Drosophila melanogaster: one gene and its partners. The protein of the gene in region 1 interacts with the protein of each later gene in a biochemical or structural test. Each region holds a gene or a part of one and is shown on either strand. Other genes may lie near its edges. The genes, in order: Orc4, Cdc6 and Orc2.

The links.
Region 2: the proteins of Orc4 (region 1) and Cdc6 form a complex in vitro, tested with the Drosophila melanogaster proteins (one study listed by BioGRID).
Region 3: the proteins of Orc4 (region 1) and Orc2 form a complex in vitro, tested with the Drosophila melanogaster proteins (3 studies listed by BioGRID, with this or other methods).

What each region holds. Positions count from the first base shown.
Region 1 is NT_033778.4:24,793,920-24,800,997, reverse strand, and holds Orc4 (origin recognition complex subunit 4), read left to right. Parts: upstream 1-3,583; 5' UTR 3,584-3,705; coding exon 3,706-3,897; intron 3,898-3,957; coding exon 3,958-5,145; 3' UTR 5,146-5,258; downstream 5,259-7,078. Other genes in the region: CG3611 (uncharacterized protein), read right to left, coding at 1,523-1,888; CG12849 (uncharacterized protein), read right to left, coding at 2,385-2,534, 2,598-2,762, 2,812-2,967, 3,026-3,073; ETH (ecdysis triggering hormone), read left to right, coding at 5,540-5,725, 5,784-6,209.
Region 2 is NT_037436.4:8,629,473-8,637,718, forward strand, and holds Cdc6 (cell division cycle 6), read right to left. Parts: upstream 4,598-8,246; 5' UTR 4,478-4,597; coding exon 2,908-4,477; intron 2,830-2,907; coding exon 2,411-2,829; 3' UTR 2,037-2,410; downstream 1-2,036. Other genes in the region: Zasp66 (Z band alternatively spliced PDZ-motif protein 66), read left to right, coding at 5,111-5,311, 5,530-5,609, 6,209-6,280, 7,967-8,126.
Region 3 is NT_033777.3:13,960,950-13,968,654, reverse strand, and holds Orc2 (origin recognition complex subunit 2), read right to left. Parts: upstream 3,771-7,705; 5' UTR 3,722-3,770; intron 3,664-3,721; 5' UTR 3,648-3,663; coding exon 3,074-3,647; intron 3,006-3,073; coding exon 2,160-3,005; intron 2,090-2,159; coding exon 1,653-2,089; 3' UTR 1,580-1,652; downstream 1-1,579. Other genes in the region: Kots (kotsubu), read left to right, coding at 4,781-4,923, 5,008-6,439, 6,505-7,259, 7,320-7,516, 7,578-7,705. UniProt on the Drosophila melanogaster protein: Component of the origin recognition complex (ORC) that binds origins of replication. DNA-binding is ATP-dependent, however specific DNA sequences that define origins of replication have not been identified so far.

The DNA of each region.
Region 1 (7,078 bases):
TCTCGTACGAAAGGAGAAGTCCTGACCGAGACCTGAGACCTGAGACATGGCGCCAGTCAGTCAATCGAGGCCCCTGACGAGCACTAATAGGATCAGCAATGCTGTCTGAGCCCTGGCGTGAAATCCGCAAATGTTGTTTACCCTGCCCGAAAAGGGGTTGACCCCTGACCTCTCTGCACACCCACTCCCCCGAGTGCAAAGTATGGCAAGTAGGTGTCTCTGTGTTTATTTGTTTTGAGCTCTACAGCGCAGCAACTCTCGTTCTGGCCTGCTTTTTCGACTGTCACCACTGCTCAGTCTTGAGCACCGCCAAAATCAGAGGCTGTCCGTCCGTTGGATTGGGAGGAGTATGAGTCAACAGAAATAAGGTGATGGTCTCGAAAAGTTCGCATCGATGCGATGCTGATGGGAAAATCGGGTGAACAATGAGAGCCGAGAAAGGCGCACAAAGCTCTCCTCTGGAGAGCCGCATCAAGATATGGAAGCATATACTGGAGTCGGGGTAAGTACTGATCCGGCCATCATTATGGCTTTCGATAGCAATTATCCGCTACCGTTTAATTGCGCGCTTGGCGATTCTGTGGGCTGCTGATGGCTGATTTTTCACACGCACTTGCCGCTGCCCACCTGACGATCCACCTCCCCTTCCCCGCACATTGGGCCGATTGAACCACCACCCACTCTGTGAATGCTGTCATGTGTCTAATGAGTCGCTGGCCCAGTTCGCAAGTTGGCCCAAAGTTAGCGTCCTTTGTGTAATTTGCACACTTGCATGGGCATTTGCATTTCCTATTTTCCCCATTTCACAGTTCACATTTCCACTTGCCACTTTCGCATTTCCATCTACCACGCACTCCGATAGACGGATGGGCTCGCCGGAAACTTTGAGGGTAATTTGCATATGGAACTTTTAAATCATACTGCTCGAAGTTGGCCCACGACACCTGGGCTTACGTCTGCAATCGCAGGAGGAGCAGCTGCGTCGATGGACACATTTATCAAGGAACTCGCAGTGCGGCGTGCCCCGAAATAACTATATTTTCGCAAACAGTATCCCAGATTATATTTCACAATTGTAAATTTATCAATCAGTTATCAGGCGAAGTGACTGTCCTAAACGAAATCCTTAAGATTCGCATGGTATCTATAATTAATTCACTGAGCATAATATTTCCCAGTTTATGGGCGCCATAAAGCAGTTTCCGAGATCCCGAACAAGCGAGGCAAGTCATCTCATGGAGTGGACAGACGCGATCACTTAATTACCTGTGTGAACTTTTCAACTGCGCCCCAGTAGGAGAAGGTACAGTGAGCACTCGCTACGGCGGCGAGGCGGGCGGGGCAAGCAGTTGCAGGTGGGACTGACGTTTTCACCTTGTTAATTATGCGCACGGTCATGCTAAAATCGCGTAATGAGTGACGGCCATTGAGAGTTGCATTGTCAGCAGAGAATGATAGTTTAATCGTGAGGGGTTCTGGCGAGGATTGGGGAGCAGAGCGGGCCGGCTGGTCACAGGGTGTCCTAGCACATGTACAGCTTGGAGGGCTTCATTCGGCCGTACTCCCCGTTCTCGGTGACCGCAACTTTGAGGCCCGTAATGCCGTCTTGCTCCAGCATCTTCAGATCCTCCAAACCTTCCGCAACCTCCTGGGCGGTAACCACGAACTTCTTTGCCAGGCGCCTGCGGTTGGCGTACTTGAGGAAGTGGCCGTCGCCGTACCGCTGGCGACTCGTCAGATAGATCTGGTCAATCCGCTGATAATGGCAGCACTGCATCTTAGGGTACCACGCGAAGGTCTCCTGCCAGTGCCTCGTCGTCCTTTCCATGGCATGACTGAAGGCGAGCTGGTAGCGCAGCTGCTCCGTGGTCACTATGTCCGCCGGCATCTTGTCAGGGGTGTGGGGTTGTGTTTACTTTACTTCGTGTCCTTCTGGTTGTGGAGTGGATTGATATATGTGTCCGAAATGTGTGAAGTTTGTGGCTGGCCCACCTGATTGGCAGCTGAGTTGCCAGTCCCGAGTGCCAATCCCGTTTTCTGTGTGCTCCCTAATCGCATTAGCAGCCACTTGACAGACGACAGGTGCAGTGCATCCAGGTCACTGCCAGCCACCTGTGCAGAAACTCTGCACATAATTGTTAACGCTTACGAACTGGCCTAGTCTGAAACCTATGTACATGTTTAAGTTAACTTTCGTCACTACACTATATTTATTTTCGTAAATCTCAGTAATGTGACAAATACATCACATACAGACCCACTTAGACTTACTATATTTACTATATTGGTCCTGCTGACCCCCATCCAATACTAAAACGGCATAACACCTTACCAATATTTCTGCTTACGGGTTGAAGAGCCTGGATATTACTGGATTTGACTGTTTAGCTCTTGGTAAAGTATAGGATGACATCGGTGCGCGGAATGCCCGCGACCATCCATGTGCTGTTCATCATGTATCTGCCATCGGGGATGATCGACTGGACCAGCTTGTTCAGATGCTGCACGGGAAGCTTGTCGAGCACGATGTCGTGCTGTGGGTGGGTGGGTGAGAAAGGCGAAGGTTATGCGGCATGAACATGGCAACGCTCACTCACGTCGTAGGGGCAGGTGTGGTTCAGGTTCGAGTAGGGGCCGAAGGTCTGGTAGACCCAGTTGGCGATCACGTGCTTGCGGTCGCGCATGAACTTGCAGGAGTCCACCTTGAAATCAAAGTTGTACAGGACTCGCCTGTTCTCGCGCATCCTCAGCTGGAATCTGGTCTGGAAGATGGTCGGGTGGTGTGAGACCGACACAGTTCTATACTCTTACCTCGCAGTTGTCGACGGGCAGGCGGAACATCTTTGTTTTTAGCGAAAGGTACTTGTAGGTGCGGTTCACGGACTTCAAGTAACAGTACTCAAAGTCCATAAACATCCTGTCGCGCACGAGGCAGACTACATTATTGAATTCGAAGTGTCCTCGGATCTTTGGATATCAATTATTCTATAGTGCCATCTATTAGCCATACGCATTCGATTCTTACTGCCATCGGAGACATAAAAATCAGCAGAAAAGTCCACAATCCGCTCATTCCTAAAGAGGTCTGGATCACAATAACCACAATACCGAGTGCCAAAAGCTGAAGCATTCCAAAAGTTATTAATTGTGATTACTCGATCCATTGCTGTTATGAAATTGCCAGCCGATATTAAATAATCTCTGAGAATCCATTGAGTGTTTAATAACTTATTTTAATGGACATTTAAAATACACAGCATTCCAAATAAACCTATTCCAGCAAATTGACCCTCAAAATGCCAACGACTATGCGATTAATAAAGAAATTTGTTCATATTTTTAAAGATGTTTATATGTATAATTGATTGTTATTTATAGAGTTACTATTGTACATATTCCTCAATCGTAGGTCCATTTTGTATGAACTAAAATGTTGATATTTCAAAATGTGCTAAAGCCGCAGAAATTAGATCGTATTGGTTTGTGGCACGAATATATTTTTCAGGCGGCTTAAGGCAACACTGAGTAGTATCAGAGTTCCAAACCACCGTACATTAAATGAACCAATATCGGTTTTGTTCCATCCCCAATGCATTGTTGACGTTTTTTGGCGCGACTTAATTACTGGCAGAAATCCAAACTATCTGTGCGTCCATTTAACTAATAAATAAGGAGGAATAAAGGAGTTCCGATCCGAGAGCGAAAATGCCGGAGGCGGATAGGGAGCTGGTCAGCATCAGGCGCTTCCTGAAGGAGCGCCTCCAGCGAGACTACACCACCTTGAGGGGCTACGCAAAGGAGCGGTCCAATGTGCGCCTATTGCTGCAACGCACAGCTGAAATGGGGGAATCCAACTCCTTGCTGCTCCTTGGGCCGCGGGGATCCGGAAAGACAACGGTATGAGTGCAGGCCTTACCGGGAAACCAATCCAGTAATCTATGCTTTCAAATTCTTTAGCTCATCAACTCCGTGCTGGCCGATTTGCTGCCCAATAAATCGTTCGGGGAAAACACTCTCATCGTCCACCTGGACGGTAATCTGCACACGGACGACCGAGTGGCCCTGAAGTCCATCACTGTGCAGATGCAGCTGGAGAACGCTGCGGATGGGAAAGTGTTCGGATCGTTCGCCGAGAACCTCGCCTTCCTGCTGCAATGCCTCAAGGCGGGTGGCAAGCATTCCAAGAGCGTGATCTTTATTCTCGAGGAGTTCGACCTCTTCTGTGCTCACCACAACCAGACCCTGCTCTACAACCTCTTCGACGTCTCCCAGTCAGCCCAGGCGCCCATCTGTGTACTTGGCGTTACCTGTCGCCTCGACGTGATCGAGCTGCTGGAGAAGCGGGTCAAGTCGCGTTTCTCGCACCGGCAGGTCTTTCTCTTTCCCAGCTTGCGGCGCTTTGAGGATTACGTTGACCTGTGCAGGGATCTACTGTCCCTCCCGACCGGCAATTCACTGTTGCTGGCGGCGGAGAAAATCTATAACCTACAAAACATCCAGTCGGGGGCACTTTACTTCTCCCGCAACCATTTTGACCCCGGGGAGTACGGCTTTTCGCCCAGACTACGCGATGCCTGGAACAAGCAAATATGCAAAGTCCTGGCCACTCAGCAGGCAAGAAGCACCCTCCAAGCGCTCCATGACTTCGACATTAGCGAGGCCTATCTCAAGAACTTCCTATTCCGCCTGGTGGCACATCTCCGACCGCAATCTCCCCACATCACAGCCGAAAAAATGGCTGCAGTGGGATCACAGTTTGAGGGCGACGACAAGATAGAGCTGCTTTGCGGGCTCTCAGTCCTAGAGCTGTGCCTGATCATCGCCATCAAGCACCATTCGCAGATTTACGATCGCGATTCCTTCAACTTCGAGATCATTTACGCGCGCTTTTCCAAGTTTGCCAAAGTGTCCACCACAATGCAGGCCGTGGAGCGGTCCATTGTCCTGAAGGCCTTCGAGCATTTACGCATCGCAGAGCTGATCATGCCGCTCACCGGTGGAGCTGGAGGGGGCGTAGGTAAGGTGCAGAAAGAGTTTGAGATGCATAAGCTGGCGCTGACATACAGCCAGATTCACCACTGTATGCAGCGATACCAGGCCCTTCCCACAGAGGTTGCTCAGTGGGCGCAAAGCTCTCTGATTTAGCAGCAGATCAGAAATACTTTGTATATTTATTTATTTAAAAAAAATTGTACCGAATCATTTAGTTGGTAAAGCCCTGTTTTGGGAAAATAAACTAATTTTAATTTATAAAACGTATATAAGAGAAAAGACAAGCATTTACATACGCAAGTGGTATGTACTATAAAATTTAGTTCTTATACAAATGTAAGTAATGTAATGTGTATGTATGCACTTAATTATGGCCAGGCATTTAGGTCAGGTTAGTTCAGTTTTATCTGCTTTGCACTTTCCGATCGATAATGCTAATTCCTGGAGTCACCCGCATTTCTATTCCACGCAAGATGCGGGTGGATCTCGCTATATAAAGGCCACCAATTGTGGAGCAGGAGTCAGGTGAAGCTTCAGTCGCATCAGCATGAGAATCATAACAGTCCTGTCTGTTTCGCTCTTGGTGGGTCTTGTGGCCATAAGCCAGGCAGACGACAGTAGTCCAGGATTCTTCCTAAAGATCACCAAGAACGTACCGCGGCTGGGCAAGCGAGGCGAGAACTTTGCCATAAAGAACCTAAAGACCATTCCTCGCATAGGACGCAGTGAGCACGTAAGTTATACCCATGGGCTTTCTTAAAGGATATTTTTAAACCATGAACTGTTTTCAGAGCTCTGTTACTCCTCTGCTGGCGTGGCTATGGGATTTGGAAACGAGTCCAAGCAAGCGGCGCTTACCCGCAGGGGAATCCCCAGCGAAGGAGCAGGAACTTAACGTGGTGCAGCCCGTCAACTCGAATACGCTCCTTGAGCTGCTTGACAACAACGCTATTCCCAGCGAGCAGGTGAAGTTCGTCCACTGGAAGGATTTCGATCGTGCCCTCCAGGCAGATGCCGATCTGTACAGCAAGGTTATCCAGCTGGGACGCCGTCCGGACCAGCACCTCAAGCAGACTCTCAGCTTTGGCAGCTTCGTTCCCATCTTCGGCGACGAGCAGAATCCGGACTTTATGATGTACAAAAACAACGAGGATCAGGAACTTTACGGCGGGGGAAATCGCTACGATCGCCAATTCCTCAAGTACAACATCCTGTGAGATGTGGAGTATTCGATTTGAATACGGACAAAGGAATATGACATTATAGAAATACATGTAACTTACCAACACTGCTAGCTAGTGTGTTTCAAATATATCCGGAACCTTGAAAATGGTCCAAGAAAAAATTTAAATATCTTTTCAGTTGAATAATCCCAGAAAACAAATGCCTCTTTTGGTAAGTCCAAAAAACACCTCTAAAAACGATAGTAAACATAATAAATTTCGGCCATATGGAAATGACTCATCCTCTATCGCACGATGGTCTGAATATAACGTAAGTCTTCTCCAAGTCTTCATTAGAATGCTTTCCCATAAGTACGTAAATACAAAACCAAATGGAAAGAGAAAATCGAAATCCGGATTGCAGTTGCTTGGATCAGAGCCTTTCTTTATCGCATTCCCGGATGGAATCGAATGGAATCAGCACATTAACGGTGCTTCTTTGACCAGGTCCACTCCACTGCAATCCGCACCTCAATCTGGCGAGTCAACAACCCAGCTGTCTTCTTTTGGCGGGGATTTGGGGATGTGGGGTGGCTGACTCAACGCAGCGAGCTCGGGCTTATCAAATTTATGGGGTCCGTGATGTTAGGAAATTCCAGCGATCGCATTCTTCTGCTCCCTTTTACCGACTTCTACCTTTTAATTGAATTAAACGATCTGCCCGCGAATTGAATTCCCAAACAGGATGATGGCGCCGTCGCATTCTGGAATTTGATATGTTTATTTTGCTTAATTAGCGGGCTGCTGTTAAGTATGCTGACCAGAATTCGCCACAATCCAGTAATCCCGCGGCTCATCAACAACTTCAATTACAAGCCCGGCTTGATCGGACTCAGACGCGATGACGACGCAAACTTGACTTT
Region 2 (8,246 bases), on another chromosome or scaffold:
TTTTGAGATTTACGAACTGGGATCGGTATCTTTGGAACTGTCAGAATTGGTTGACAAATCTGCGATTTGGAAATGCTAAGTGACAGTGCAATTTGGCAATTTGGCGAAAGCAAACTGAGCAAATCAATAATTTAACAGCAGATTTGCGAAATATTTTTATATTCACATTTATGTTGCTGCAGTGGGGCGAAACAATAACCTCGAGTGCGATAAATATTTGTGCCTAATTTTCGAAATACGAAAAAAGTGCTATGTGAAATTGCTCCACAAAAGCAGCAATTAAAACATATACGCGAGATTTGTTATATGTGAATAATGTGAATAATTCTCGACTGAGGCGGCAGGACAAACAACAACATCCGTTTGGTAAGGGGAGGAAATGGGGGCGGTGTTTAAGGTGGCGCGTGGGCGGGAACCGAGGAAAAAAAAAACAAAAATATAGATCACACCAAGTCCAAGTTTATACGATGGTGTATTGTTGTTGCCCGCGTTTACGCTCGGTGAACAGGCTATTTGCACAAAAACATATTTTGTATATTTAGGAAAATCTGCTCTCTCTCTCGAATATATAGGATTTTCTAGTGGATTGGTATGAGTGCGTGGGTCGAACGAACGGCCTCTGACCGTCAGCACTCGGTTTTCTATATGGTGGCTCACACAGACAGACAGGCAGATAGACACTCTCCAACCAATACCGAGTTGGCTATATAGACAAATTGGAATTCCGCGCAGTCGGAATAGCAATAATTCGCCAGCATTTGAAAATTTTCGAATCAGTTGCGTTCGGAATATTGAAAAATAAACAACAATAAGACTCGAGCTCGAGCATCCTTTTTGTAGTGAATCCTAGTGTAAAGATCTCCGATCTCACCAGCTGCAGCGTTGATTTAAACGTGACGAAGAAGCAAGTTGCCAATAATATATTACAAAATTCAAAAAAAAAAAAAAATTTACCAAACAAAAATTAAAAACACTGCGTGATCTTCCATTACGTAATTGCATCTGGCTATAATATCTTTCGTTTCTATTTTGTTCGAATTGAAGGAGTTTAAATTCAAACACAAAACACACACATTGCAAAAATGGAGTACGTTCAGTTCAAAAACGGATCCCCAGTCTACTACAAGGAGCAGCCAGACCTCAATGAGTGCATTCAATACCAAGTAAGCGAGCCAGTGAACAATTAACTCGAATTAAGCCACATATAGAAAAATATTTAAAGAGAAGCCTGAGGAACGCGAAAAGTGTGTTTTGATATATGCACATAATCTTAAATGAAGATTTAACTATTGGTTTTATAAAGGATACTGGTTTAACCCCATTAGAGATAGAAAGTAAAGCAAATCATGCTGATATTTAATTAATTTTGAATTACTTTTAAATATTTCAAATTTCTAAGAACGTGGCCCAATCCAGATGAAACATTTCACCTTTACCGTCAACCGTTTGATCTTGGAATTCAAGTTCAAATGCAAATGGCAGCGCCAACAGACCTGTATGTTTTTCGAGGTTTTTCGCCTTACTGCTCCCTCAGAAATATATGTATTTTTGAGGAATAGGAATATAGAACGCCATATACCTATAGATACATTCATGCATATATCTAGCTGGCCTCTCTGCATATAGCTTATTATTCAAACATTTGTTCGCCTTTCGTCAATACGCGTCGAAAGGCAACCAGAGTTTTTGAAACATATTTTTCATTGCGCTCTGGTTGTGTCGGTGGTGCTCAATGTAATTCATACCACTCAAATGGGGATATTTTTAGAGCAGAGAGCGCAGGAAGAACAACAATAAGCCAGCAAATAAATAAACAAAATGATTATAGAACAAATTAATTTCATGTCGAGATGGCCAACAAAAGCCCACACAAATTCAGAAGCACTGGTGTTAATTTGACTGGTATGTTCTGAAAACGCCTCAGAAAACAATGGCAACAGACTTTCCCTAAGATTTTCACAACTTTTGGCACGACCCAAGATTCAAACTTGCGGCGCAGCGAAAGTGGAAAACGTTTTCACTTTTGCGTTTTATGTATTGCGGAACTATCTAGTTTATTCTTATTTGCTTAGGGCTAACAGGAAGGGGATTCTCTATAACTTATTGGTCAACGGATCGGATTAGAAATAGATTATGGGCGCAACATTTACTTAGATTTATGACACACACAAAGTCTAAAAGAATCGATTCAATTAATAGTCAGAAAATAGCAGAAAATGTCGAAAGTGACCGTCAAATGATATTTCAAAATATTTCAGTGCTTGCGCCAGCCACGAATTTTAAAATTAGCGTCAAAAAGTATTCCTATACATATACGTTCGTCCCCAAGGTGAATGAAAATGAGAAAAATGCGCAATTAACCAGCGGTTTGTCGGGCACACTCATTTCCTAGAGGTAATCGTCCAGATCGTCACTTGCTCAGGCAGGCGGTATCGCTGAGGATCGAGGCGATCAGCTGCTTGTCGCTCAGTGCCGCATGCACCTCCTCCTCGTCCCACTGCAGCAGAACCTTGTGCAGGCGCGGCTCCTTTTTGCGCATGATTCGCAGAATGCCTCGGGTCTCGACCAGATCCACAGTCCCAGTGAACTCCGCTTGGTCCAGGGCCAGGATGTTGCGTTTGGCGCACACTCTCCTGTAGACCTCGTGCAGGCGACCCATACTGATGTCTTTGTTGCGCTCGTTGCGCAGCATCAGCACCAGGGTGCACAGCATTAGCTTTTGCTGCAGCGGAAATGATGCCTCGATGTCCTCCTCCAGATTCTGTGAGGCACCGTAGACCTTGTTCAGCACTGCAGCCACTTGGGTGACCTGAACAGGCTTTAGAGTGTCTGAAATAGTCAAGATAGGATTTCTTTTTAACACATTCTATAAATTTATCTTTATATACTAAAGAAACGAAGGTTTACCTTGCTTTTCCTTGGCCTCCACCGCATCCTTGCCCTCCAGCTGCAGGGCCTTCATATTGAACTCCTTTTCGCCATCGCGCTTCTGCTGCTCTGCTATCTCGACCACTCGTCGTCCAATGTCCAGGGCCCTTCGCACATCTCCACTGATCGCACTCACCTTGGCGGCCAGCAGCTGCAGGGTCACGGGTGGAAAGACGTCCAGCACTTCCGCCTCAGCCAGACGCGACTTGAATATCTCCACGATCTGCTGCTTGGAGTAGGGCGGGAAGTGCATCAGTCTGGGCTTCAGCTCGCACCTTGCATTCAGTCGCATCAGCGCACGATCTGTGAGATCCAAACTATTGGCAATGCCCACGAGCAGTATCCTGGAGCCGGGAAGAGCTGGCCACTCGAAGATCGTGTACAACACCTCCTGCCTGCTGGTGCAGAGCTGATCAATCTCGTCCAGCACCAGCAGAAGCATTCGCTTTGCTGTCTTTAGGTGACGCTGAATGGCCTCCAAGTGATCTCTCTCTGTGCGACCGCTGACTTTGAGCTGCAGTTCGGTGCATAGTTTCTTGTAAACTGCTCCTACACTTGCTATGCTGGTGCAGTTAATGTACACACGTTGCAGACGCTTGGAGAAGTCGGGATCTCTCAGCAGTAGCGATAGGCAGGCGGTCTTGCCTGTTCCTGGCTGACCGGAGACATAGAGGCTGCCGGAAGTCTGGCTTTCCAGGTGATTGCTGAAGAATTCACGTAGCTCTTGGAGCTGGGACTCACGTCCTGGCAAGTTTTGTGTCTCGGCGCTGTTGAGCACTCGTCTGGCGTTTTGGTATTTGTTGCGTGAGGGAGATGGCAGGTTATTCTGTTGGGTTTCCTCATTGGTTTGGATATTGCTTTTTTCTTTAGTTTGGTTTTTATTCGGCTGCTTTGTTGGAGGTTTCTCCTGCTGCTTTTGCGCTAATGGATCCTCCTGCTGTTTTGGCCGAGGCTTTGCCTCGTCCTTGGCTTGATGTTTCGGCTGCTGCTCAGCCGTTTCAGTCTTGTGTGTGGTCGCCTCCACCTCTTCCTCCTGGCGCTCGTCGATGCTGAGTCTGTCCAGCAGCCGCGAAGGACTGATCAGGTGCTGTGGCAGTGGCTGCAACTTCCTCTGCTTCGGCGGCGATCCATGAAGCGGGTCCACCTCCGAATCCTGTTCGCCCTCCAAGAATCTAGCGGTGGCCTCACGGTTTTCCTCCTCACGTTTGGCCCGTGAACTGCCAGCTGATTGGACTGTTTTCTTTGTGCTGCGTGGCGTCTTTGGCAGCTCCGATTGAGCCACCTGCACTTGCGATGTCCTGCGCCTGGAGATCTTGTCCATTTTGTTGAGCACGTTGCGGTTCTCGTTGTTCTCTGAAACGGGGCTGGTCAGGTCATAGATCGCCGTCACCACCTCCTCCTCCTCGTCGCTATCGGCAAGCACTTTTTTCGGCTGCCTGCGTTTCCAAACTTCCGAGCGACGCGGCGTCTGCGTCGACGGCGGCAGCGGAGAGGCGGCGGTCGCTTTGCTGATGCTACTAAGGCGCGTGGAGCGGCGTACGGCAGCCATTCTTTAGCTTAGTTTATTGATCAGCAGTTAGTTACTATTAAATACGAGTTAAATAAGCCACAGCGTGCGTTACAATTTTCAGCTGGCAGTCACAGTTAAAAAAGCGCGCAAATTGAGTTTGCCATTCGCCACGAGCAACAGCTGATCAAGCCTGGTCTGGTCATCTGGCAGCTCTAGCCCAGAGCTGCCTATTGTCGATCGCCTATCGATTAGGCGCGCATAGTTACAACATTTCAAACAGCAGTCCGCCTATATTGAATTACTTACATACTCGCGTGTGGACGGCCTGGTAAAAATAAAATGGTCCGCGGCAGATAGAAAACACAAATCGCTGGACGTTGAACACGCTTACGTAAGCGCCTAAAAATATTTCCCCTGGCTATGGGATATTTTTAAAGTATATAAACGGGCGCACATAAAATGGAATTTAGATATAGCGAAAAAAATTATGCACACACACGCTCGAAGGAGAAATACGTAGCACAGTGGGCAAAGATCTGGTGATTTCTAGAAACTCTTTTAATCTCTGTCTGATTTATTTATATTATCATTTGCCGCAACGGCTGGTCGGCCAAATGTGTGCCCCATTTCGGCGTAAACAAAGTCGTTAATCTTCACCGATCCGCTTTCCAGCCCTACCGTACAACTCCGCTGGTCCTGCCCGGCGCCAAAGTGAAGAAGGATGCGCCCACGACAGAGTCCTACTTGAGGCACTACCCCAACCCGGCTGTGCGCGCCCACCCAGGACACGACTACCATGACAGTATCATGAAGCAGCGCGTGGCCGACACCATGCTGCACAAGGTGGTCGGTTCGGAAGCCGACACTGGCCGCGTAAGTACAGGGGACTTCTTAAAGTCACACCCACATAATGGAAAATTACAAAAACTAGAGTTTTCTACATTTAAAATTGATATTTTCAATGTTAACATTTCGAATTCGTGACCTGTAGTCTTTGTTCTAATCCTGTTACGAAATTGATTGTATTTAATTTAAGTGTAAGTTGTAATGGGTTTTACTTACATTTGTGTACATATATCCCCCGATTTTAGGTCTTCCACAAGCAATTCAACTCGCCCATTGGCCTGTACTCCAACAACAACATCGAGGACACCATCAGATCCACAGTTCCGTAAGTTGTCACCCAGAAATGTACCATCTGGAAACTCCTATGCTTAGCTCGATACAATGAAAAAAAAAAAACACTAATATATGAACTTTTGGAATTCGCTTGTCAAATTGAACTTATAAGCCTATGAATTACGCTACATATTCTTTGGATTTTGCAATTTACGAATAAACCTGCGTAGAGTTCTTCGAAATTTTTGATGCAGCTTTTCTTTTTGCCAGAGAGACAGAGAGAGCCACTCGAAATGCGCCAAGTAGCTTGAAAACTAATAAAACGAGTCACGAACACACGGTTACGAGTAGCCTAAGGTCCACATAACCCGAAAAATTGGTTCCTGGTTAAGCTGCGGCCATAATCCACTAACCCAAAAGCCACAAAATCAAAGTCGAAACGAAATTTACTAAACCGATGCACACACGAAATGAGAAACACACACAATTCGAACATACGATTGAACACGAAAACCAGTCCATAGATGTTGTACGTACTACTTACTACTGCCTACTGCCGGATCTCTGTTTTACATGCATTTATATACATTTACATATATAAATATACCACTCTCTATATATCCTATATATATTCTATGTATATTGTTGTAGCTTCGCCACAAGCGAAAGCAATCGCTTGAAGGACAGTCCTTTGCATCGTCCTTTGCCAACAAAACTTAACGGGTAAAAGTAAATTCATATCTTGAGCACAGCCTGATTTCGTTCTTTGATTGAATCCTTTCACTTTCACTTTCACTTTGATATGGAAAGCACAATGAGCAAGAACGTGGAATTGTACCTGAACTTGCCTTGAGACAAATTAAATTGAATATGAGGAATGTTTGCCAAGTTTCCCGTGTTTTCCCCTGCCTGTCTGTACAGACTAACCCTCGATTATTGTTGTCTCCCGCAACCTGAACAACTGAACTATATATGTAGTTTCTAAGAACCAGATACAATATCTATGTCAGAACAACAGAAACAACACGACACGAGTCCAAAAACCCGAATGCATGTGCTCTGCTGTCTACGAATATGTGTGTTCCTTTTTTTTCTTCTTCCTAAAAACGTCCTATTGCAAAGAAAAGCTCAAATGATCTGAGTCTGCGCTTAGGAAATCATGCTATGTAAATATGTGTATTTCTGGAAATGATCTTCACCGAAACCCCCAGCGAACGTTGTTTGTCTTGAGGCTTTTCAGTTTTGGTTTTTAGGACATATGTAAGTTTAAGGTATGGCAAAAGTGGCGTAGGTGCATCGGTAAGAGTTTTCAGTGGGTAGATCAGGTGCTGTTTCCATAGATTAACCAAGTTCAACAAATAAACGAACCCTAGACCACTCTACCACTCTAGCTCTTAGTTTCTGATATGCTTAGAACATAGCTGCACGATTAATGTTAGAATTTTCATCGATCTATCTTTCCTGGAACAAAAACGTATTATTCTGGAGCAACAAAAGCAAAAAGACCAACTGGCAGAGCAACAACGTCAACAACGCCAGCATCAACTGCAAATACTCTATCAACAAAACAAATGATCAATCAAATAGTAGCCAAAAACTGAACCCACTTCTAATAGACTATGAGCCAAATACCCTTTCCCAAGACCCCTGCTAAAAGTCCTTCCCGTCCACACTTCTTTCCGACCCACCACCCCAAAAGACTAATCCGAAACTAAAAGACGTTTGCTGAATTATATTTACGAACTGTTTGAAAGACAGCACTGAAAGTTCCTATTCTTGATCCCCATCGCTATCGCAACCCATCCAGTATTAACCGAACGAGACTAACTAACCACCCTAATCCCGCCCGATCTCAAGGCTTCGACTCATCCGATGATATACATACATGATAATCTCAATATAATCTCGCACCTTGTTATGCAGTTCTGTTTGATTACTCTTAATAATAATAATAACTAGATTGTAAGGAATTTGTTTATGAGTTTCCTATTAATCGCAATCCGTTTGAGGAGTGTGCAGTTCCAAGACAACAAAGCACACCTATTGCCCAACAACAACAGCAACAACCAACAACAACTACAACAAAAACAAAATAATTCTAACGTATTTTGTGCACATCCTGTTTTCTCTTTCTATTCTCTCACTACTCTGTCTCACGCTACTCAACCGATGTAAAAAAAAATCAAAAACAAAAAAACCAACATATTTTTTATAAATCTCGATTAACCAACAACAATAAAACAAATTAAAATAAATAAATCTTTTAAAACTTGCGTAACACCAAAACAAAAAATCCAACGAATAATTGACCAAAATAACGGCGCTTTCAACGATCTCAATGCAAACCCCCGAATTACTGAAACTTAATCTCAATCGGAACCCGAATCACTGACCACTGCCAACGAGCAGCTATAAGAAAACTGTCCAGTACGATCCCAGGAACAGCGAAACCTACAGAGCCATTCAAGAAGAGGGCGGCTACAGCAACTATGGCCAATCCTCGCCACAGGAAGTGACCATTCCTGTGCAGACTAAGGTCTATCAGCCCAATAGATTGGTTCCAGGAAAGGTAAGATCGTGCGCAACCGTTCGAAAATCAAGCAAATCTCTCAATCAACTCGAATCAGTCGAACTCAGTTAAAACTTTATGTGAAGGCATCCGACAATATCGCTCGATTCTCAAGCTCAT
Region 3 (7,705 bases), on another chromosome or scaffold:
AATTAAAGAAGAAACAACAACAACAAAAACAAAAAAACCTAAAAAATAATGCAAACAAAAAAAGAGCATAAAAAACAAAACGGAAAGTAAAATAAATTAAATTTAAAGTAAAGTAAAAACTAAAAGTAAAAATCGAAGGCATAAATACAAGCAGAAATAAAGAAATTCACTGAGAAAGCGTAACTATTATTATTATTATTATTATGATTACTATTATTACTATTATAATTACCGATTACTGCGTATAATTACAAAGCGTACACTTTGATTGTGATGTATATTCGATGAGTATGACTAATGAGTAACGAGTAAATGAGTAATGATACGGATATGATAATGAAGTTGATTTATATATTGTGTATATGTAAACTCGGAAAAAATTTTCAGATTCAAGGTTTAATTGCACCCACCACCCACCAAAATCGAAGAACTCCCCCATGAAATTGAGGAGAATGTAAAAATTTATTGTTTACCCGAGTTCTAAACTTTAATTTACTTTTCATCGCTGAATTCATGCCTGAACTTTTGTTTTTCGATTCCCCTCGTCTTTTCTTAAGTATCTAAAAGTATCTAAATTTCAATATCAGACGCCTGTTTCTCTTTGTTAAGCGCAAAATGTAATTAATTTGTTGTACAAAACTATAAAAACAAACAAACAAAGCATTGTCGAAATAAACGCAAGCAGTAGCAATTTGTGTATAATAAGCCGATAAAAGTGAAAAACCAACAACACTCTTGCATCGATTCATTTTGTAAAAGGGGAGATTCTCTTGGGTGGTTTCTCTTCTGATTGATTCAGAACCACATTCTGCCATTCATTCCCACAAACGAAGCTTAAAAAAAAGGACGAGCAAAGTAAACGTGATAACAATTATCTAACTATTAAAGAAAAAGTAAATGTGCGGCGCAGGAGATAAGACATTTTTATATGCAAAAATGCTGATCGCAAACTCGGTGTGTACAATTCAGGTATTCAGGAAGGGGTAGAATTTTGCAATAAACTCAAAATAATATTAATAGGAGCCAGCCATGAACGATTCCCCATTGTATGTGTACTTCCGATTGACTTCGCATGTGATTTGCTATCAAGAAAGTGTAAATAAACTAGCCTTAGTCGCAGCAATTACATTTCGTTTCGAGTGCACAATTAACTAGTTACAAGTCCAACGCTTTAATCTGTGTATGTGCGTGTCTGTATAGTGAATAGGTAACCGATATTAGCCTTTGGAATGGATGAGGAGCACGGAATGGTCAGGCGGTAGTGAGTCTTATCATTTTTGGCATGCTTAGCTATGTTTAGTTCGCCTCTTCTGATCCTTAAAATCGTATCCAAATGCGCTCTCATCCCCGCAGTCGTCGAGCACTTGCAGTGCTTTGTGAAGTTTTGTGTTGCTATATGCTCGCAACTGGAGCTGAGGAAAAAAACTAGCCATCCTAGAATGTGTATCTTCGAGCAAAGCGACAAATTTTATGCATGCCAATCTTAATGTGTAGAAATTGACAAAAAAATAAAAAAGAGCGAAAACAAACACTGCGCACTCATCATGGGCAATACAAGTGACAGCAACACAACATTTTTAAAAAGCGAAATTGTAATTGTATTTAACAATATTAGATAATAAATTAATATGTTCTAAAATTACGCCGATGGCCTATTTCTTCTCCTGCTCCTCGAGAAACTGCTGCAGCAGTGCGCCATCAATGGGAATGGTTAGCTGTTCGGAGCCATCAACGCTCCGTTTCGATTTGACCAGCTTGTGGTCGAGGAACTCGGTGAGCTGGGCACGCAGTGCCAGATCTGAGCTGACCAAAAATGCTTCGCGACAACTCGAATAGAGATCCCTGAACGGCATGCCCTGGTATGTGGCATTGCCCTTGTTCTTCAATTGATACTTAACAATCAGCATGTAAATGCCACGCGAATTGGTCGTTAGCGATGAGAAGACACTGCGCATCGAGGAGAGGGCCAATTCGCCGGAATTCTGCACCAGCAGCGAGTTCTCGAACGCAGTTTCGTTCGTATATGGCAGCATTGTTGTGCAGTCCCACCACGAGAAGTTGAAGCTGCACAGCTTTCCCTGGTCCCACACTGCAAATTCGTAAACAATAATTAGTTTTGCTGTCGCACTATAAAGATCTCAAAGCATCGGTGCACTCACACAGTGGGGTATTTATGTGATCAATGGAGGCCAGTAGATGAATGTTCGGTATGCGCGCCAGGCGCGAAAGAATCGCCTGTGCCTTCACATTGCGAAGCATGGCTCCATCCAGATTATGGACGATTAAGAACAAATGTGTTTCCGGTATCAGTGCGAACTCCTCCTCGATCATATCCACTGCTTCATGTGGATTAGCCGGACTAATGCCCGCATCTAATATGTCGCTTGTGATGCTATCCAGCATATCCTTGATGGTCAGACTGGGAAAGAAGCCATTCACCACCAATACCGTTTGCTTATGCAAAACTTCCCGATGGAATGACTGCAGCAGCTGGTGCTTGGAGCCCAATCCATATAGAAGTATATTGAAGCCTTCGTTCAGAATACACATCCACTTGGGAAAGTACGATCGATACTCCTCCATAATGGCATTAATAGAACCCTCATGCTCCGCCGATGTCTTGATTTCCGACAGCAAACTGAAAACACGATCGGCGGCCAGGCGAGGATTCTTTAGGCGATCCAAGGTGTGATCCGAAGTGAGGATCTTGCTGCTGGCATGCGAGTGAAAGTAACCATCGCTCTCGGGCACAAACTCATTCGATTTTTTCGCCCTCGCCGATTGTCGCAGGCGGGCTGCCGATGGAGTTTTCGGCAGAACGGGGACTACAATGGCACGGCGGGCTCTACTGGGCGTTTTGGGCTCATCATCGGCGGCGTCGTTGTCAGAGGAGTTGCCAGCATCGCTGCTACTGCTGCTGGAGGAGGATTCCTCGTCACTGGGCCGGAAATCGCTTTCATCTCCAGAAAAATCCTCATCTGAGTCGGCCACTATTTTGGCAATCTCTGAAAGTGATAATGAATTTATAAATAATGGAAAAAATGGTAAAAGGACGCAGAAAAAGGCTACCCACGCTTCTTGACGCGGGTGCGCACATGGGCGGGAGTCTTTGGCTGATCCATGGACTTCTTGCGCTTCGTATCCGGCGTCTTGACACCCAAACGCGGCGTTTTTGGGGTCTTGGGCGTGCAGGGCGTGGCATTTAGGGCGGCCAGTGCCATGGCATCGCGTTTCTTGGGCGTATTGAAGCCAAACATGCTGGTGCCGGCCACATTGTACTCGGATTGGATGAGATGCAGATCCTTGGCAGCGGGACGGGCAGCATTTTCCGACTCCTCGATGCTTTCTTCTTCTTCCTGATCCTCCGCATCGCTGCTCCGTTCATCGGACATTTCCACATAGTTCACAACAATTCGCTCTTCCTGGCCTTTTCCATTGCTTTCCTTCTGGTACGCCTGGTATTTCTTGGTGGGACTTGGACGTCGGGTGGAACGCCGACTGGTGACCTTGGGCTGAGATTCCACTGCATTCCCAACCATTGCCGTGTTCAAGTCCTCGGATTCCTCCTCCGAATTGGTGAGGTTCTCAATGGACATGAGGTTCTCCTTCCGCGGCGTCTTGTAACCGCCTTTGTTGCTGGCACTCATGACGCTTGCCACTTCACTGGGGGCCCTGATTATCAAAATATTCAATTGGTAAACAAATAGTTCGCAAAATATACTCAATGCTCAGAAGTGGCGGGAATTATCGATAACTAAGACATGCCAAGAGTGTGGCCAGCTCTCGACCTAGGAAGTAGCTAAGTTTCTAGCGTAAAAAAAACTAAAGGGGCATGACAATTAAAACACAAATGTTATAAATATTTGTATAAATATATATTTATATAGGTAATAATTACAAAAAGAAATTCCGTGACACAGTTTTTAGAAATAACTATATTGTTCGAATAAGAATTGCATACGTTATCGATAAATTTAAATTAGAATCCAGTCACTGACAAAAGCTGAAGTGTTTGTTGGCAACACGTGCGCGTACAAAGCGGTTATTTTTTCACTGTCACAAATTCCTTGCGGATTAACCACAAACGTTTTTAAAACTAAAAAGTGTTAAAATCGGTAAGTTTAGGAAAAACAATATTTGAAGATGGGAAAATTACGCTACGTTCTTATTCTGAATTGCGGTCGTCAATGGACTTGCGGTTAATTTTCAAATAATATTGCCTATATTGGCAAAATAATAACACAAAGTAGATTTGCGTTTTCAGATATATTCAAACAGGTTCAAAGAGTATTCAACTTCCATGAAAATGGCTTGGCGAAATTGATTGTAACTGGAATATGTAGAATATTTAGCATATGTTGTGTCGTTTTAATTAAAGTTTAAAAACTTCGTAAGCCTTATTTTTCCTTTTTTAATTAACGATCAAGTTTACTTCCATCAGTGCGCTGTAAATCGAAAACCAACCGATATCGATATCGTCCTGTTCTCTTTCTTCCCACGTTCGTTCAATGCACTGAAGCGCGTGCCCAGCGAGCTTCGAATTTAAACGCGTTTAGTGAACGTATCGCATGTTTGTGAGTTGTGAATCGCGCACTTAAATTCTAAAGGATTCCACCTTTTTCAAAACGAAAACATAGAAAGTTCTCGTCCAGCGTAAATAGATTTTCACTTTGTATTTCATCGCGTGCTAAAAGTTCTGTTAGCGCCATTTTGCTGCGTTTCCTTTAACGCGCCGTTCTTTCATTCACACGTTCTTGCGTTGTTACTTTGAATTGAAGAAATGGAAAAGTCGGAGGAAAAGACATGCGTCGTCTGTGGCACTCCGACCAGATTGATGTGCCAGCGGTGTGGAGAACCGTACTGCAATGAAAAGTGCCAGAAATTGGATTGGCAGAGGCACAGGCAGGTGTGCATCATTATGCCGTGAGTTAAATTAGTAAATCCGTTGCGCAGCAGTGCATTAAGTTAGGGGTTTTTAATTCTTATACAATACAAATGCGTTTCCAGACCCTTGGTGGAGTGCCGGCCTCTTCAACCGGCGTTGAATCCAATCCAGAGCGTAGAGAACCAAGTTGCTCTGGCTAAAACTCGCACTAAATCGCCAATCCCATGTGTGGAGCCCACAGTTGCTGTGCCGAACAAGCCGGATCTATCGGAAAACTGGCGCAAACATTTGCTGCCGTCGGGCATGGAGTTTTTCAAGTGCCGCGTGACTTTCATGGAGAACGATGGACCCATTTGGGTGGTGCACGTGGCGAATGTGGAGGCCATTGAGCGAATGACGGTCAACATGCAGCGCTGCATGCAGAATAAGAAGATGATTCGTATGGAAGGAGTGCGGGAGGACACCCTCGTGGCCATCAGTGTGGGCGACAAGGTCCATCGCGGTCATGTTTTGACGGTTTGCCAAAAGAAGCAAGAAGCCAATGTCCGTATGATTGACCACGGTCAGATAGTAGCTACACCGTTTCGGGATATCTACACCATTGTGCCCAAGATGGCCGAAAGCAAGGCGTTCGCTTTCCGTGTTCAATTGCCCACGAACACTGGAGTTCAGGACATTAAGAACTTGACGCTCCGTATGTTGGGAACCAAAACCAGCGACGGAGCTTATCACGTCCATCTAAAGCCCAAGATGATAATACCACTAAGTTTGCCCTTGGAGATGCTGCAGCTTAATCCAGAAGTCAAAGTCATCCGGGTCTTTAAGGCAAATCCAAAGCATAACGAACCGCAGCTGGCCCTACTCCAGATCAACGTGATGGGCCATGTCAACGCAGACTTAAACAACCGCATAGCCGAGAAGCCAAGACAGCCATTCACGCTGCCCTTCCCCGAGCAGAAATCCATCTTCTTTGCGGCCACCCGCACTAAAAATGGTTATCGGCGAGCTTTCCTATTGGATCATATCATGAAACCGAGGCCAACCTATTTGGTTTACGAAATGGACGAGGGTAGAGTGTCCATAGCCACCGATCTGAGTCGTATTCCCAGCGAACTACTTGGCCTGCCCAGTCGAGTGTTTGCCGCTCAGCTGGAGGACTCCGTACCCGAGGAGCTTGAGACTCAAGGTGCAGAACTCACGGTCAAGTTTAAGCTGGATAATAAGCCGCCCAAGGAAAAGTTACGCGCGGCGAATGCCGCCTTGAATTCCAAGGGCGAGCAGATATGTATGGCCCGTCTGATCACTTTCTTGGGTCAGATTTCATATTTAGGCCACAAGTACTGGCGTGAACCCATCGTCCATGATTCCATCGTATTCATTTCCCACTTGGTCAGCTTTAAGGAGGTATACATCAGCACTCCAGACGCCAAGCAGTATGCGGAAATTTTCAAGCGCCTGGAGTACAAGTGCGCTACCATTACCAAATCTAGTGATGTTTCCGTTGGCAGCATCGTGCTCGTTGTCTCCAAGCAGATGGGTCACTTCCGGGGCGAGGTTTGTCGATATTTATGTTGCAGGGTTTCAATCAGTAAAGTCTATGAACTTTTCGAATTTTACAGATATTGAGTAAGGATAGTGGATTGTTCGAAGTAATGAACGTTGATACTGGTGCCACCCAAAAGGTGGAGTTGGCGGAAATACGCAGCTCCTGTCGCTTCCTGGAGAATTTGCCCGTATGTCTGATGCGTGTACAGTTGCAGAATGTCTGCAATATTCCGGATGCAGCTGTGCCAGTTAACAATGCGGCCATTCAAATGCTGCACAAGCTCTGCGCCCAAAAAGAACTGCTAAAATTGAACATGGTAGATGCAACTACATCGACCGTGGACCTGCTGTTCAGCTCCGGCGATTCGCGCTCCTTGACGACCCAAATGTTGCCTCTTATATTTACACCGGTACAGGAAAAAGCAGAAGTTGCACCACCGAAGGCTGCTTCTACTCCGAGTCAATTGCCTGTTGTAACTCACAAACAGCAGAAGGTGTCTCCACAGTCTCTACTTCTGCTGGATCTGCCTCCACTGCCGCCCTCTCCACCGGAGTCGCCTTTTCCTGCCGACGTGACAAGTACAAAGTCAGCTTCCCACGTTCTGCCCATTAAACGCTTCCTTTTCGACGCTTTGCCCAAGAATCTAGCTCCTTTAGGCGACAAGGTCAACCTAATCCTTATGAACGCTGACGGATTGCCGCAAACTGGCTACATCACCGCCGCCTACTTCAAGGACGAAAAGGCGGCCAAGGAATTTGAAAAAATCCTTAGCTTGACATCAAGTCAGGGAGCATGTGACCACAATGTTGTTCCGGGTTACGTACCAAAGTAATGCGCTTTCGATATTTGCTTGTCCTTTTCTTAACACGCACTTTATCCCAATTGCAGCGTTGGTGAACTGTGCCTGGCGATCTACAGCGAAGATAAGAACTGGTATCGCGGAGTCTGCCAGGAGGTTAAGGACAATATGGTCAAAATTCTATTCTGCGATTTTGGAAATACGGAATATGTGGCCGTGAGACACGTGAAACCGATTTCACAGGATTTGCTAATTGCCGTCAATGTCACAAAGTGCTATATAAATGGTATGCGCATAATCGCATTCAATTTTTGCCCGGATCACCATTAATAAACACTTCGTTGCAGGCTTCGACAAATCAAAGAATTTTGCGGCTCTGGAGCAGTTTCTTGTGCGTAAGATTCGATTCTTATGCGGAGTTAAGAAAGGCCCTGAACCCGATACTCGTCTCATTACAATTCCGGATATGGAGACT